Linked DNA regions of Drosophila melanogaster. The protein of the gene in region 1 interacts with the protein of each later gene in a pairwise test. Each region holds a gene or a part of one and is shown on either strand. Other genes may lie near its edges. The genes, in order: MYPT-75D and DCX-EMAP.

The links.
Region 2: the proteins of MYPT-75D (region 1) and DCX-EMAP interact in a two-hybrid assay, tested with the Drosophila melanogaster proteins (one large-scale study listed by BioGRID).

What each region holds. Positions count from the first base shown.
Region 1 is NT_037436.4:18,623,970-18,629,263, forward strand, and holds the start of MYPT-75D (myosin phosphatase targeting subunit 75D), read left to right. Parts: upstream 1-1,989; 5' UTR 1,990-2,107; exon of another isoform or gene 2,108-2,322; intron 2,323-2,895; 5' UTR 2,896-3,062; intron 3,063-5,294. Other genes in the region: bora (aurora borealis), read left to right, coding at 1-495.
Region 2 is NT_037436.4:14,901,763-14,907,051, reverse strand, and holds the start of DCX-EMAP (Doublecortin-domain-containing echinoderm-microtubule-associated protein), read right to left. Parts: upstream 3,248-5,289; 5' UTR 2,816-3,247; coding exon 2,072-2,815; intron 1-2,071.

The DNA.
Region 1 (5,294 bases):
GGACTGGAGCATTCCGATTGCAGCATTAATCAGAGAGTTCGTCGGCTGCGTGTGAATAGCACGCGACAGGTTGTGATCGAGACAGGGGATCAGCCGCTTTTCGAGGAAACTGAGGGGGAGGAAGAGGAGGCTGAATCCGAAGATGACGAGGAGGCGGACGCCATGCAACTATCGACCGTGAGCTTCAACTGCAGCTCTTCCAACTCAGATACTCCGCGCGGACATAAAAGACATCGCTCCGCACAACGCAAGAATCTCTCGCAGTCCTTTAGTGCCAATTTGGAGGAGGAGGCGGATCAGACACAAGGTGGTGCGGGCTCCATCCAGCCAGCAGAGCCACCATCGGTTGCGATGCCACAGCAAGGAGCCAGAATTCCGCTATATCGGGCGGACAGTGGCTTCAACGAGACTTCTAGCACGACCTTTGCCTTCTCGCAGGATCTCCCGCTGGATGTGTCCATGGCCTGCTGCTCCACCCCCTCCACCCGATCTTGACCTCTACCCTTCGCAGTTCTAGATGGTAGCAACTACATATGTTATTTTATAGGCAATCTATGCAATAACTCCTTTTCACAGCCAAAAGAAAGGAGGACTTGTTTTTCAACTGCAATGATCACCCACCGTTTATATATATTTTGTATGCGTAATTGTATGTTCTTATAGAAATCTGCCAAATAGTGAATTAAGTCGTGCGTTTATGTCATTTATAAACTTAACTCAATGCCTTTGTCTAGTTTAGGGTACTTAATAAAAGTCCATTCGATGCCATATTTAATGTAATCAAAAGTTCCGAAGTTGTGTTATTTTCTAGCTGCCTTAAAAACGAAATTACCATTAAATCAGAATTCACATTGGAGGCACATTGGAGAACTATTGTAAGTGGTCATGGACATGGAAGTTGGTTAGCTCAATTTTGACTCCACATTCTGTTTGCGTTGTCCTGTGTAAGATTGAAACATTCGGGTGAGGTAAGGGAAGAATTCACCATGAAGGGTAATAACTTAAAGAAGATACTTTAGGAGATTTCAAGAATTTTCCAATCTTTTCGAACTATGATGATAGGAACTCTTGAGAACGTCAGAGATGGTTCACATCCATATCAACTTGGACGTTTGAATTATTTCAAAAGAAATCGATGATCGGGGTAAGTGCACCCAAAACTGTTAGAAGAAGACTTATGTACATATGTATGACCGTGGTGTTATAAACTTGGCGAAACCCAGGGCGACTTCTAAGTTCATATCGAACTGCGCTGCAGGAGAATCTGTGGATGTCGCTTTAGTGAATGTTCCTGTTCTCCTGGTCAATTCAAAATTGATTTGAATACAACTGGAGATGCTGTTGCATATAAGTTCAATGCAATACATATTCTGGGCAATGCTAGTCCGTTGCGGGCAGTTCGATGTTTTAGAGCTTCAGTGCTGGGTCAATTCTATGAAAATTTTTTATTAAAGTTAATTAATAGTTAAATTTATCAGCATTACTTATCAGTAATCTATTTGGAAGCGGGTTGGGCTCCGTTGTCGAGTTTGCTCAATGAAATCTCGTTTTAATCAAATTTGTTCTTTAAAAATAATGTTTTCGGTTGCGGAAGGGGAGGTGGATTGTGGTGATCTGTCAGGACAAAGACGGGTACTAACTCTGCTGTATGTTTTTTCATAAAAGTCCTGCTATATAGATAGATTCTAGAAGCCCAAATCTTCCTTGTGCGAACTATCTTTTTAGACTATCTTAGATCACCTTCGTACAATTTAATATTAAATAAAAAAATAATAGCTACTTTCTATTTCGGCACTATGCTAGAAAAAATCTGTCCTTGTAAGCAATTACTTATTTTTATTATTTTTAAACAAGTCTGTCTGAAGAATATCGAATTTTCAAATCTACATTTTAATCGATATCTATTCGATATTCGAGACATATCTATCTCATTTCTGTGCAAAACTATCGCAACCTCAACAGCTGACGTTGGCGTACCGTTTAAAAAATTTAGTATATCGCCAAACATCAACGGTAACGCATGTGGCTTGCTCTCGGAAATATTTTTGAGTGTCTGAGTGCGCACGCGAGAAGAACTGTCGGCATTTGAGAAGCGATCAGCAGAAATGTAATTGTTTGTTTTGGGGATCGAATCGAGTGGCTGTTATACTGTCACATTTATGCTACTTTTCCAAGCTGCGGTCCTTTTTTCGCGTTGCTTGGGTCACGACAAATTATGGTAGCTCGCCAAACAAAGAAATCAATTTAACCGAAATGTTTCGTACGTACGATCAGCGGAGATTTCTGCACTAATTTTCACCTGTGGTGTTTGTGTGTGCGTGCGTGAGTTCTGTTATAAATAGCGAAAGAGAGGAGGAAAAAGCAGATCGCTTTTTGGGCCATAAAAATGCCGAAAGAAAGTGCGGAGCGGGATAAATAATAAAAAAAAAATATTTGTTTGTGGGCCAACAAAATAAATTAGAACAACTCGTAAATAAGTCGGGCGCCAGAGGAAACTCTGTAAAAATAAACGAAATGAAATAAAATAAAATTAAATTCGCAAACGCAGCCGCGCGGAAATGTGCAAATTGATGGAAAATTAAAAAGGCAAAAAGTAGCAAATCAAAAAAAGAAAAAGGAAAAATTGCAAAAAGAATTCCTGTTACAAGAAACCAGTTCCTAACTCCCCCACCCACCTCCTATCTTCTCCTTTTTTTCTGGCTGCATCCGTTTTGAGCGAAAGTTTCTACTCCACTGTGCGAAATGTGTGCAAACAAGTTGGCCAGCTGTTTGCCGAGCGGGGAGGATGGAGTGGCCAAGATGGGGAAATGCGGAAAAATCTAGCCAATTAATTGTGCCGTGAAAGTGTGCGCCAAGTCAATTTCTATAATAAATACAATTTTTTACAATTTGCAGTCGGTGCCTTTTGTGCGCTTCAATTCGACTCGATTCCGATTCGTTTCAACTCGATTGAAAGCAACTTTGCAATCGAAAAATAAAGCCAACTAACAAAAACGGAAAGTCTCGCCTTGCAATTGGACTTGAATGGCTCTAAAGGCCTTTTTTTCGCACCCGGACTCGAGGTAAGCCTGTTTAATTTTCATGCCGACTTCGCATTTTAAGGCAGGCGACAAATTATTTGGGTATCGTTTGCAACGACACGTTTCGTTAACTTGTATGCATGCGATTCGTTTTAGTGGTCACAAAAACATTACCAATATTTCAAGTAGAAACTTGAAAAAGTAAAAAATTGTTTAATTGATTTTTTTTTTCGATTATAATGGTGCTATTTTTGCTTGAATTTAGCTGATCGATGCCGTAAAACCTCTTCTCAGTTAAATTTTACACACTTGTAATTGTTAATTGGTTTAAAGAGTGCCAAATTGAAAATATACACGATTCTAAGAGTCTAAATGGAGTATTTTCTATTTAATATTGGGAATTTTATAATTGGGACTGACTGGAAATATTATTTGCAAGTAAGATATTTAATGATCTCAAACTTTCTGGATAGATCATAAACCGTACAGTGTTGCAAACTGCAAGTAACACTGGTGTATGAGTGCTTTCTGCACTAGTTAGAACGGGATAGGGCAATCAAGAGTGTAAACAACAGTTAAATGTTGTTTAACTCGAATCCGGCGACTGCTTTCGTCACATGTTTTGCGCCCGCAGTTCCACTCTTTTTCGCCCTTTGTCGACGAGTTTTGTGCCTTATCGCAACCCTTGTTCGTTTTTTTTTTTTTTTTGTATTCTTCTTGCCGTATTAAATGGCCGGTTCTGCTGCGGCTTTTGTATAACTTCCGCTATTGTTATTATTTTTTAGTTGTTCGTTGTTGGAAGAAGTGTAATTAAACAGTGGAGTGGTCACGGTGGCTGGGGAAGGGGCGCGGCGGAGGTAACCCTGCAGCAGCAAATGCAGCAGCCGCCGTCTCACGGGAGTTGCCACCTCGAAAACCGGTTACAAATCATTAAACTAAAATTCTGACTCGCCATCCCGCTCGCACCGTGCTGCCTCTCGCTCCCACCTGCACGCCTCACTGCACAGTGGCACATGCAAGTGCAACTTGTTGCAGCAACTGTTGCCGCCGCCGTCCGTGTTGCATGTTGCATGCTGCTGCGAGTGCACTTTCATTAGACAGACGAATTGAAAGATTTATGAATAGAAAGAAAGTGTGTGGTGGGGAACAGGTCTAAAACAAATCCATATTTTATCAATAAAATTAAGACCAACCGATTTCCGAGGCACTTATAAAGTGGGCTAATTAACAAAAATTTACTTGAGCAGGTTTTTCGGAAATCGTAAACAGTGCGGACTATATTATATTATACAGAGCAACAAAATGCACCTGTTGTGAAAAATATTTAAGTTATTTATAAATTTTATTAAGATATAGTAAATTCCTTATAAACATTTTAATTATTATATTACAGGGTATTACAGACTTTTGCAGAGCATCTCAACTTCTTTATCAGCATTTAGCTGAGCTTTCCCGTTTTTCCTGTTTCGGTTGCAAAAAAAAAAAAAAAAACTAATTCAATTTGTCTAATATTCAAAATCGAAAGAGGGAAAAACTCGTTTATCGGCATCCTTGTGACACACTGACATCTTTAGCTAATCTCGGGCCCTCCCCCTTTTCCTCCTCCGCCTCACCGCTCCCATCACACTTTGCTTAATTAATTCTGTTTTCGGTTTTGTGTGCCGCCACCTATCAAAGCACCCCATCCCCCCCCCCCCCTCGGTTCCCAATCGCCCCTCGCACAAACGATCGTTGCTGGCCCCGTCATTTGCATTGATTTGCAAATTTTTTATTGGCCGTTTCGACTCGAGCCTGACGTAATTTGTTAAACTTTGTTATTTACCTGGCTGACATCGATGGCCAACTAATCAGCGCCAGCTTTTGTTGGCTTTAATTTATGGTGTGTGGGCATTTCAAGCGCTTTAATCGTCAAGGATTCAGTCCCACACTCCCGTTCCTAATCTTTCGGTACTATTTTCCAGGTTTAATCATCTCATTCGGGGTCAGAGATTAAGTATATTTCTCGAAAAAGTTGTCCATAAAAGTGGTGAATGAATTAAACAATATCACTTCAAATCAAAGGAGAGATAAAAGTGACGATGCTTCAACTGGATTATATTTAAATTATACAAACTAGATTTAATGGGCTAAGACCATATTTATTTCAGCTTGATTAGCTTCTGTTGCTGTGCCATTTTATTAAGTCCTTATATTTATTCTACTTATTTCTTATTCAGCGTTTAAATTCCTTAATGTGGAGATCCTTTAACTGAGTATCCCTTACACTTGTTAACA
Region 2 (5,289 bases), 3.7 Mb from region 1:
AAATTAGCAATAATGGAATTTTTTTTATATTTTCACTTTAAATGTATACCATTCTTGACCACAGCTACATCAAGTTATAGTTATTCTTCATAAATAGTCAATTTTCAGAAATAAATTGAACAAAACCGCGAATTGCGGTTTATTTTGGCCTTGGGTTTTTATTGACCATATTTTTTGGTGAAAACCGCAAACTCTCAGTTCAATCATTTTATGTCGGTGATTTTTTCAAAAGTTTTTTAATGTTGCAAAATCAGGTTACATACTCAGTACTTTAAATACAATATTTCAAGCGCAGTAGTTAAAAAATGAAATGACACTATTTTATTAAACGCTCAGAATAAGATTAAACTGTTGCCGAAGATCTTTGAGGAAAAGAAAAAACAAAAAATTCAAATATTTCGACACTTCTCTCATGTTCTACCAAGAACAAAAAATCCGAATATATATGTATGAGTTCTGTCAATCTTGACCGAAAAAAAAAATATCCTTGGTTGAAGTATTTTCGCAAGTGCACTCTGCATGCTCCATGCTGCGCTTTTGTTTGCTAGCCGCGGGCCAGGCGCAATTGCCTTTGCCGTAGCGAGTTGCAGCTGAAGTTGAGGCCGGAGTCGCAGTCGGTACTTGGTGTCCCGTAGTGGAGCCCGGAGGAGAAGCCCCAACCTGGTGGATGGCGGGTGTGGGGTCTTGGGTATCCTGGCGGGATGGAATGGCTGCCTTTTTTCTTTGTCTTGGGCACTGGCACATCCTGACTTTGGCTCACGCTTCGACTGCATTAGACGCATAGTCGGGGATGGCTTTTGACTTGGTCGTTAGCGATTATGGTTTGCCGCAGCCTCTCCAGCCAATCCCACAAAAACACCCCAACTCCCAAAGCCACTCCCACTCAGCCTTATCATCATCAGCCACCCACAACGTTTGTCAAACGGAAGGTGGAAACTTTTTCAATAGTTGTTCCGGAACATGTTGGATGTGCGGACGCTTGATTGCTGCACCCGCATGATGTCTGCGATTTGTGTGGATTTTTTTTTGTTTTTGGCCAACTGCCTCGGCCAGATGTAAAAAGAGAAGACTTTTAAGCCAACTGTTTGGCGAGTATCTGATTGAAATTTATGCGAAAGTCAACCCTTCAAATGGGTTGCCTAAAAAAATGTCCTTGGGTGACGAAATGGTTTTTCGAATTTCATACAATGTTTTTATGACTTTATCCCCTTGTTTCTTATACTTAAGTCTTTTTACATTAATATAATTAACTTGTTTTATAGAATCAAGAAATTAATGTACTATGTAAATAAAAGAAATAATTTTCTCCCTCGAACTTTTGGATGAAAAGTTATCGTTAAATCTGTTACTTTTAATTCGATTCCATCCACCGCTTTCAGTATATTGATGGAACTTATCGATAAACTGCCAGCTGACCATTTCGGCCTAAAGAGTTAATGTCCTTATCCTTTTTTGCTCAACTGAGCTACTCTTAAGAACCACTGTTCTCTTAGCCGTCCCAACTCTCAAGTTAGCCCACTCTCAGTCGACCATAAAGGCTAAGACCTAATTCCCAACTTGCCCTCGTGGCAGGCCAAAAGGCGTGCTAATTGTTGGCATTGTTTCTAGGGCTAGACTCCCACAACAGCGAGAGTGAGTGAATGCGAATGTGTATGTGAATGAGAGCGAGAGAAAACGAAAGTGCTTGCATGCAAAAATGTGGCCCCACCGAACAACTAACCACCCACCCGCTCACTTCACCCATTTCCCCCGCAAGGACCCGCTTTTCCGAAGAAGAGGGAGCAAAACAAAGAAGCCGAAAGGAAAGCGACGCCTTTGATTTTTAGGCCAAGTGACCAAGTTTTCTCACTCCACAGCGCTGACCGCAAAAAAACGCCAAAACCTCGTATATAGTTTTATGTATGTTATGCACACTTACACACACAACCGGCACACTAACTAAAATTATACCAAAATATTCAAATTTATATTGATTTTGCGCCTGACGTGAAAACTCTCACTTAAACTTCAAAATAATGAAAAACTTAGCTGAGCTGAAAGCAGAAATGCATGCAAATAATCTGGTACTAACCTTGAAGGCCTTGAACGAGGATACGACATAGAAGGCTCCATCCTCCAGTTCATCGAGATGATATTTTCGATCTCCGTCCATGGAGAACACATATCGAGCACCCCGTGGCAAGTCCATCTTGGGCGAGATCTTATCGAGAAGATTGTCCAGTGAGGTTACATCCCGTCCGGGACGATAGCGCAGCTCCACACCCGGAAAGAATGGATCCCCATTCCGGTAGAACACCACACGGCGTGCCTTCCAATAGGAGAGATTATTATATCGCGATGCCGCTGCACTTGAAATTTCTGGACGGGATTTAGATCGCACCAGCGGCACCACTGGCGGCTGCTCCGAGTTCTCGCTCATGTTGTCCAGATACCCGGGACTAATGGCGCGACTCTGCCGCCCACTGGTTGCACCAGTGGTCGCACCGTTCCGTTGCTGCCAATAATCCGGCACCTGGCGATCTCCACCAGCCACCTGCTCGCTGGCTGCTAAGTCCTCCTCATCATTATCGTACCGGCTGGTGTTCTGAATCCGGAAGCTGGAGGACACTGGGCGCTTGGGACTCTTCGCAGGACTGCTGCGGTTGCTATCGTTGTTGCCGTTGATGTTGCTGCCGTGCTTGTTAATGTTGCTGCTGCTGCTGTGGATGCCGTTCCCGTTCCCGTTCCCGTTGTGCAGATTATCATCCAAATGGGGCTGCGTCGGTGGCGGCGAAACGTTTCCCTCGAGCGGTGCGTTCGGACTAATTTGTGGCATTGTTTGGCCGCCCAGAACGGAGTCGTTACTGCCAGCTGCCTCTCCACCGCCATCGACCTCATCCTCGCCGGTCTGGGCCTGACTCAAGCTGGCCATATAGTCGTCGTTCTCTTCGTTGGACATTGTCCTGGTGTTGGTACTGTTGCTTGTCCTGCTCCTAAAGCAGTCACGTCAGCTTTCTCTTAAGGAATTGGCTCAACTTGCGTGCTCGGTTTGTTGTGGTCAAACGGAATCGCTAAGGGCAGCGTCGCGTCGACGCAAAGGAAAACTTGGAGCTCCCAAAAGGGGGGCAACTTCTTGGAGGTTTTCTTCGAGCACGCAGTCGCTGGTTGCCCAGCAAAGAACTACGTTGCTGGCCTGGCTAAAGTGGAAAATGTTTGATTAGAAATTTGATTAAGGATTTAATTTAAGTCATTTTAAATAATATTTTTGGAACCAAAAAAAAACATTTTTTTATAAAACATCGGTTCGAACATCGAACGTCACTCTCCTAATATAAGAGGTCTATAAAAGGTTGGAAGTAAATTCTGTTAAGGAATCTATCAGTTATAATATTCGTGATTCAAAATTGTTTATCATGTACCAACTGTGGAGAAACAATGCCAAATCTTCACAGTTCTCTGATAGCCTTTAACATGTCAATAGATTGTAATTATCGAATATATATTCCCATGTAATGTCTTCATTCATAATCCTCAAACACAGCATACATATGTCCTGGTCCTTGTTCCACTCAAGCCTTGCACTTAGAAATATCAACTGTTAACTATATCCTCACCCTCTACGTAATCGATATGCCACGAACTCTCGATGCAATGTGTCCAATGCTCCCATTGCCCAGGGCTCTCCAGAGTTCCGCCCTCTCAGCCTGCCTGCTGCTCGACTCCCCCACTTCACAGGACTCCAAAGGATTCAATGGGCTGTCCGGCGAGCACTTGCCACTGCCTTTGTCCCAGCAAACAGACCAAAGAGCCCCACTCAACCATTCGGCGTGGGCACTACAAACATTCACACTTCTGCGGGGTCGAGGGACAGGGTTCTGGGTTCTGGGTTCAGGGTTCACAGTTCAGGCGGCTCCACTCCTCTCCTCTCCCGCTGGAGAGGCCGAAAATATCGCGTATTATTTGCCCTGCCTTGCCTTGCCTTGCATTTGGCTACCTCACACATCGATGAGGGTACACTCGAAGTCGTATGAAAAAATTCTAAACCATTTTGGGTTTAGGTTCAAGAACTATATTGTGTCCAAAATAAATGCATAAACAATTCTAGTTGTATCTTTATATATATATTCTATATATTATTACTAATATCTAACTAAAAACTCGCACAAAAGGACCCGCAATATCACTTTGCAAATTTGTTATATTTAACATCTGAATACCCCAGAAACAGGATTTTAGATTTAAGGAAAATCATTCTGGCTGTTTTTCCTGATTTTTCCCCAGTGCATCGAGTGTTAAGCACCGAAAAATTGCAGACGGCAGGGAACAAGCCGACGACTCCTGGCTTAAGTGGCATTGGTCTCTTGTGTCTTTGACCACTCTGCACTCACACTCACACACAGTTCACCTACAACCATTCACACACACTTCCACACAAACCGGGATCCAAGTCCTTTTCACTGCATTGGAATTTCGTGTATTTTACAATTGCAACAAAAAATAAATATTTGTGGGCCAAGGGAGCTGGAATTTTCACTGGTGAGCCCTTTTACTTGATTTTTTTTATGGTTTCACCTTTTTATTTGTGGGGTGGCGGCGGGCTTGGGTTTGGATTTACCTGTTTTATGCAAATTTGTTTTTATTGCAACACGTTGCACGTTGCTTCTTCCTTTTGGTCGTCGTATTTATGGCCGTATATTTTTTCGGTTGGGGTAAAAGTGGCGCGGTGGCTTCTTTTGCGGCAATTAGGTTAATGACACTTGGGCCGGCAGTTGTTGCTTTGGGTTATTTATGCACAAACAGTTGTGCCTCTCCACTTGCAACATCAGCAGCATCCACTTCCACTAATTGCCTATCAATCAGCCGCAATTGTCTCCACTTTTGGATCGGTTTTTCGGGGAAAAACGGGAAAAACACTCACTTATCGGATAGCACAAACCCATTTACTTGAATCAAATTTAATGAACTCGAAGGCGAGTTTATTAAAACATCTCTCGCGCTGGCAAGAAAGTTGGCCAAAACAAAAGTGCGAAAGTTTTGCTTACTTTCTGGCATTTACCGATGCACAAGAAGAAATTCCGTGTGGCAACTTTGCCGGTCAAAGTGTTTTTGAAGTGTGTTTCGAGCGGCGCTGCCTGCTGGCTGTTCTGCTGGTTTTCCCGCAGCTTTACCTTCTGCTGCTACTGCTGCCTTTTGTCCACTCTAAATTTCCTTGGCGACGCAGCCAATTTTCTTAGAGAGTGCCTTTCTCTTTCTACCTCCTTTCCTCGAATCGCGAATCGAATTACACGTTCGCCTGTGTGAGTGACTGAC